Danio rerio: one gene and its partner. Each later gene encodes a partner of the first gene's protein in a complex. Links are inferred from orthologs where the notes say so. Each region holds a gene or a part of one and is shown on either strand. Other genes may lie near its edges.

Region 1 (3,660 bases):
GATTCTCTGTTAAATTCAGCATTGTGCACAACCATCCATGTTGAAATGCTTACGCAGAGGTCTCCAAACTCGTTCCTAGAGGGAGTTTAGCTACAACTTACTTCAACACACCTGTCTAGAAGTTTCTAGTATATCTAGAAAGAGCTTGAATTGCTGGTTCAGCTATGTTTAGTTGGGGTTGGAACTAAAATATGCAGGACACTTGCCCTCCAGGACCGAGTTTGGGCATCCCTGGGCTACGTTTGCAACAAATGAAAGTCGTACTCTTAGTTTTGGCAGTCTTATTAAAACATTGTGACAAAGTCTGGAAGTCACAAAACCCCAAAATGTAAATGTTCATGTCTTGCTACCTGCAGCCACAGCTCTCCACCACCATGTCCTCGTACTGCTTGTACACCACATTATTGGCTGAGTCAATGTACAGGATGCTGATGGGGCTGAGTCTGGTGGGCACGCAGCAGGTCGGCGGCGTGGATCTAGGGTCCATAGAGTTCATCAGAGTCTGGATGATGGCGTGATTGGTCGGTTCCAAATGGGAGCGGATGGGAAAGTCACAGACGCCATCGCAGTGAAAGGCCTCGTACTCCAGCGGAGCGATGATCCAGTCATCCCAGCCCATTTCCTTGAAGTTCACGTGCAACTGCTTGCGGTTGCATCTCTGTTTGGGGTTCTTGATTGGTTTTTTCCCACGCGGCAACGGTGCCCGACGCATCCGCCTCTGAGTGAACAGATACTCATACACGGTCTTATTATCATGCCCGGACCGTGCTTTGATTTCATTGTAAAAGAGCCCTCGCTTTTTTGTGCGCCCGAACACCACGAAGAAGGCTTTCTCCTTAGTTTGCCGTCCTGCCCGACTCAATCCCAGTAACCTCAAGTCAAGCGGTCGGCCGTGATCAACGGCGTCCAGCTCCAAGCAGAGCTGAGGAGTGTTTCTGAAGTTCTTGAACACCTTCCAGATGTCAAACACCTCCCAGTAGGAGGCGCTGTGAGAGTCGAAAGGTCTCGCCTGCAGCAGGACGGCTGCGTTTTTACCTGAGGCGCAGGTGAAGAGTCTCAGAACTGCCATGCCCTCAGAGAAAGTGGCTTTTCGAGAGTCCATGTGCTTCTTTCGGAGGATCCGCAGCTCCGCACCCAGCAGACCCTCCTTCTCCATTGAGCTGATGTTGAAGAGGTACCGCTGGCGTCTCAGCAGGGGCGCACGCTCATCTGCAACAGAGAAGCTCAGTTGAAACAGTGCTGACATATATGTTTTACAGAACATGCACCATAACCATGTTACTATGTTTTTCTGACTTTACCATGGTAATACAGTGTTTTGCACATCTTATAAGGCTTAAAAATATGCAACTACATTTTTTTGTTGTTGTTGTTTAGGTATGTGCAATGTTTTTACCAAGTCCTTTTTTTGGACGCAATGCCATTTTATATTTGTCATGATAATACCATTATTTACCATAGTAATTTCAAGGTTTTTCATATGATGTCAGGATAATACTGTAGATTATTATGATAATTGTGTGGAGTTTTGCACATGCATTATATTAACGTTTTAGACTTTAGCCCTAGTTTGTGGACACAATAATACCATGATTTACCATAATGATATCATGCTTTTTTTGCACATAATATCACAATAATGTGATGTGTTTACTGTGGCTTGTTTACATTTACTATGATAATGCCATTGAGTTTTATACAGGTTTCATGTCAATATGCTTACAATGGTAATCTAGTCTTGTCGCCTATCCAGGTTTTAGCAACAGCAAATAATATCTTGACTTCTAGTTGATCATTTGGTATCAAAGTGGCTTATATGGAAGGCAAAAGCCTCTAGATTACACTTATTTCACCAAAATAAAATATGATCATGGCTTGATTTTTCACTATTTAATTATGGCAGTAAGGTCTGACTTTGCTTAGACAAAAGTTTTGTCACTTAACAGAAATGATGTCCAGTACAGAATATAAAGTCATGGAGGGGTTTAAACAGAGTTAATATTGTGTATGACTCCCATGAGCTTGGAGGACTGCATCCATACATCTCTGAAATGACTCTAATAACTTTATTAATAAGTCATCTGAAATGGCAAAGAAAGCGTTCTTGCAGGACTCCCACAGTTCATTAAGATTCTTTGGATTCATCTTTAATGCCTCCTCCTCCGTCTTACCCCAGACATGCTCAATAATGTTCATGTCTGGTGACTGGGCTGGCCAATCCTGGAGCACCGTGACCTTATTTGCTTTCAGGAACTTTAATGTGGAGGCTGAAGTATGAGAAGGAGGCGGAAGAATTTGCCCTCTCCTGTGGTTTGTAATGTAATGGGGAGCACAAATGTCTTGATACCTCAGGCTGTTGACGTTGCCATCCACTCTGCAGATCTCTCACACACCTGCATACTGAATGTAGCCCCAAACCATGATTTTTCCTTCACTACACTTGAGAAACTTGAGATATCTGTGAGAATCTTGTGATCCATGCGGGTTCCAATAGGTCTTTTGCAGTATTTGTGATGATTAGGATGCAGATTCACATATGATTCATCTGAAAAATCGACCTTCTGCCACTTTTTCAAGTGGTTTAATCATTCTTCTGCAGTATTAGATATGATTGGGATGCAGTTCAACAGCTGATTCAAATCTCCCTTTTGCCACTTTTCCAAATGATCAACTAGAAGCCAAGTTATTATTTGTTGCTCTTAGAAATGGTATTAACGACAAAACCTTTGTAAGGTAGTGTAAAGTGTTTTTCTTCATGCTATTACACTTCCCACAATTATAATACAATTACCTATAGTAATACTATGTTTTTTCCACATGATTTCAGGTTAATACTGTGTTTTATGGTGGTAATGCCACAGATTTTTAAAAAAGCATTACGTAAATATCAACTTTTAGACATTTATCATGGCAATCCAAAGACATTTTTTGAATAGCTATAGTGTATCATGCACAATTAACAACATATTGCATAAATATGGAAATGATTCAGTTAGATGGTATTGCCATCTGATACCATTACGTAACTTTGATGTAACTGAAGAGATTTATCTTTTAAATGCTAATATGATCTGTCACTTTGATCTTTTCTAAAGCACTACAGCTAAACTTTTTCACAATCAGAGCTGATTCACATCCTGATTATGTGTGTGTGTGTGTGTGTCTCTCTCTCTCTCTGCATGCAATGCAACATGAAGGCAGTGCATTATAAAAATCAAAGGTTTCATTTTATCCAAGAACAGTTTGCTTTCAAAAGACTATTAAAACCAGACGACCTTGGTCTGGAGACCACAACATACTGTAAACACAGCATTATTATCAACCTGCAGCTATTTACCAGTGGGCCTACCACCGTGACATATGGCTTTCACTAACATGGGCTGAAAAGACCATCTGAAGTGCACGGAGAAGGGCAGAGAGAGTGCAGCTGATTAAAACTGTGTGTGTGTGTGCGTGTGTGTGTGCGTGCGTGCGTGCGTGTGTGTGTGCGGTGATGTGAATTACACTAAAAGGACATAACGTGCAATGGATTTCCAAACTTTCTCCTAAAATAAAATCACATTAAACCAAACATGTATAACTTTCTTTCTTCACAAAGAGATGTTTTGCAGAATGTTACAGGTTACTTTTTTCAATAAAGGTAAATGCGAGCTAATATCC
Region 2 (3,760 bases), on another chromosome or scaffold:
TGTAAATGAATAGAAACCAATGAATTTGTCGACGAGAATGAAGAGAATGCCAATTCAATAAAGAATATAGTCAAGAATACAGCTAATGGAAACATCAAGGTCTCATAATGGAACTCAAGAGGATTAAATAAATAAATAAATAAATAAATAAATAAATAAAGCATCACAAAACACAAAAAAAAAGTTTCATTTACAGACATTTTACTGTCCCAAAATGCAATATAAAAATTTAAATACGCTAAAAACACCTATAACTCACAAAAATAAAGAGGAAAATGTTAAAAAACATTTGTGCCATGCCATTTATGATTCAAAACAACACTCTCCATCAGATCATGTCAGAACTGTTCTGTCGATTTGTCCTTGTCAGATTGTCCTACCTCCCATTCAAAAAGTAGCTAGCACATTTTGATGATGTAATGTTACCCATCAGACTTTGCTACCAGTGTACATTTTAATGTGGAGTAGTGGGACATGAAGCTGTAATATCTCCCTAACCTACCCAATCCCTAACCGCAACCTCAGAACCATTTAAATACAGTTTTAGTAGGATAATCTGATGGGTAGGATAAAATGTCAGGACACCAGCATTACACCTGATCATTTAGAAACTTTCCCTTACCTTAAGAGTTACTGAGAGTCATCAAGAGACTGATAATGTCCTGATCGTGTTGAACACCCTTTAAAAGAGAAAGCAGCACATTATAAACTGATCAAATTTTATGGACAGTTGTGTGCATGTTATCACACAACACCAACATCCATGAATTCACACTAGCTGATATCCAAGGCAATACGATCAGAATGCTTCAGGTAATACAATCTGACTGAAAAAAATGGTCACACAATGCTGTCAGTGCTGGCAGTTTGGACTCTCTGCACCGATGTGTTATTTACAAAGCCTCAAGAGCAAACACTGGAGGAACGCGAGAGTAAACTCCAATCCAATATGCGTGTTTGCACTTGACCAACAACTCTGATATCAGCAATCTGTCAAAGGCAGAGCTGAATCCTTTCAGTTTAAACACAACAAACAGATATCAGAAATCTCATTTAAATCTGGTTTCTTTTGGATGCGCTTCAGAGTGTTTTTTTCCTCAACAGTGACAGCTGATTATTTTTTCTGCTAGGACGACTGCTGGCGGGGCAAAGTTACGAGAGTTGCAGGGCAGAAATAGGGGGTCTAAATATACACCCAGCACACCGGCCTACCCCTCCAGCACCTGCCCTAGTGGAAATAGCTGCGTCTGAAAGCTCTGCAGCACAGTAGCAGGTGTGAGACACACAGCAGAAACTCGACAGCTCTCTGTTTCCTTCTGCAGGCTAATTTCAGCCGGACGGAATCAGAATCAGTCCCTCGTTCAACGAACTGTGGAAACGGGTAGAAGCTGGTGTGCAAGCACTTTTACCAAGAGCTCATTTCCACTCCAAATGGGTGTAAATGCTCATGGGCTACCAAACATTTCAGGACACTGAATGCTCAACTGCACAGCTGCTGCTCTTTCAGTCTCACACACAGAAAACAGATTCCAGTGAATTGAAAATCAATGCCTTTCTGCTGGACATGACTGTCATTTCAACTGTGCGTTATGAGAGTAGACAACTATGACAAAGTAGGTTCTTATAGCGGTGCAATCATTGTATGATTATATATATCATTATATGATATTAGTTCTATGATATTAAGTAATAGTTAGCAGTAAAACTTTACAATAAGGTTGTATTAGCTAATGCATTTACTAACATGAACAAACAATGAACAAAACATGTATTACAGTATTTATCCATGTTAGTTAATGAAAATAGTCATTCATTGTTAGTTCATGTTAACTCATGGTGTAATAACTAATCTTTACAAGCATGAATACGGATGTTAATAATGGATTAAATGTTGAACTATGATTAATAAAGGCTGTACAAGTATTGTTCATAATTAGTTCATGTTAGTAAATACATTAACTAATCAAACTCATTGTAAAGTGTGACCTAGTTAGCAATGTGTAAACTATAAAGAGCTACAAGGCTTAATTTTAATGTTCAGATATATTCAGTTTACTGTTTAACTATAGAAGGAAAATGTTTTAAAAATTGTAAACTATTACGAAGATAACATTATATTAAACAAATAATATCTTAAATTCTTTGTGTGGTAGCTTTTTAAATCACAAAATAATCCAAAGTGGTGAACTTAATTACTGTAAGAAAATAACATTGCTTATGTATGATTCAAAGATGATGAACAATTTATTTGGGCTGAATTTAAACAAACATATTAAGTTGAACATTACTAAATTTAATTAGTTTGTTTAAATTCAACACATAAAATGTTTGCAGACATCGTTTTGTTCAGTGTATAGTCAACATTTGAAGTGACGTCTTATGTTAAAAAATATCCAAAAAATACTCCCTGTATAATCCTGTATTTTTTTTTTAAATTGACACATTTAAGTAGTCATAATTCAGGGTATATATGACCTATATATTTGATAAACAGATATTAAAATAAAGTACATTCAAAAATTCCAAAACAGTGTCTAAAGATCAAATATAGTAGCTCTTGAGCAGTATTAAATGTTTGGTCAAACACACTTACATTCACATTAGTTGAATTGTTAATTAATGACAATAAATGCAGGTAAAATATAATATATGAACTCACAGAATCAGAGGACTGTCTCCTGTAGACCGCCGCTGAGATCTTTCCCCGTCACTTCTGACAGTGACGCGCTCGTGTGCGGTGTGATCCGCGTCACCGTCCCGCACTGAAGGAGAAGACGCGTAAATCACCCGCGGTGCGCACCTGCCACACGCGCGCGCCAGCTGACGGAGAGCAGCTCTAGTCTCTCTCTCTCTTTCTCTATGAGCTGTTTGTCAACACACACGTGTTTATCCTAGACACAGCACACGCTCTTATTACTGGATTTGTTTCAATTACATTACGCATAGTTGTTGATTGCAGCAACAGGTTACATAAATTACCCAAAAGAATGTTGTAAATGGTGTAGAAGTGTGATCCAGAATTTTAATCACATTTTATTAAATATTTTTGCTTTAGGTAAAGATTTTATCAAGTGTCCTTAATTTCTAAAATTATGAGATAATTTTTTTTTATTCAAATATTCAAACATTTAGATAAACACTTTAGTAAAAACGATGACAATAATAGGCTAATATGCATTTATTTCCATTATATTTTATTATTATATACTTACTGTATTTATTTATTTCTATTATTATTTTATTTTTAAATGTATTGTTTGTATATTGTATCTTTTATTGTAAAATGTGTAAATATTTGTTGAACCAAATGTTTAAGTTATTGTGTTTGAACTTTTAAAAAACTTTCCCAGTTATGGGTTGCAGCTGGAAGGGCATCCGCTGCGTAAACATAGGCTGGATAAATTGGCGGTTCATTTTACTGTGGCGACCAAGGATTAATAAAGGGCAAAGCTGAAAAGCATGAATGAATGAATGTTAAAAAAGTAACAAGGAAAGCTATAAAAAATAATATTAATAGGCTAATAATAAAATAAAACGGGATTTAAAAACATGTAAAAATGTATTAAAATAAAATGTATAACTACAAAAATATTAATTGTAAACTTTACATAAAAACTAGCTAAATAATTAAATGTGCTGAAATAATATACATTCAACTGAATGTGAAATGTGTAAAAAATAGTTTGAGTTGAAAACATTTATGCAACTAAAGAGAATGGAAATAGTTCCCAAATAATTGTTTAAACCTATTTATAAAATA

What was found. Proteins that work in one complex are often made in the same cells at the same time.
Region 2: the proteins of gdf5 (region 1) and hjv are in contact, whole or in part, in a crystal structure (PDB 6Z3L), measured with the Homo sapiens proteins. The link is inferred for Danio rerio from reciprocal best matches to the Homo sapiens genes GDF5 and HJV. Residues at the interface, in NP_000548.2 of Homo sapiens: Met412, Trp414, Trp417, Phe478, Asp480, Ser481, Lys488, Tyr490, Met493; in NP_001366281.1 of Homo sapiens: Arg95, Arg98, Gly99, Leu101, His104, Ser105, His108.

The regions. Positions count from the first base shown.
Region 1 is NC_133181.1:55,372,883-55,376,542, forward strand, and holds part of gdf5 (growth/differentiation factor 5), read right to left. Parts: intron 1,210-3,660; coding exon 347-1,209; 3' UTR 1-346. UniProt on the Homo sapiens protein: Growth factor involved in bone and cartilage formation. During cartilage development regulates differentiation of chondrogenic tissue through two pathways.
Region 2 is NC_133191.1:47,328,210-47,331,969, forward strand, and holds the start of hjv (hemojuvelin precursor), read right to left. Parts: upstream 2,725-3,760; 5' UTR 2,660-2,724; intron 681-2,659; 5' UTR 623-680; intron 1-622. UniProt on the Homo sapiens protein: Acts as a bone morphogenetic protein (BMP) coreceptor. Through enhancement of BMP signaling regulates hepcidin (HAMP) expression and regulates iron homeostasis.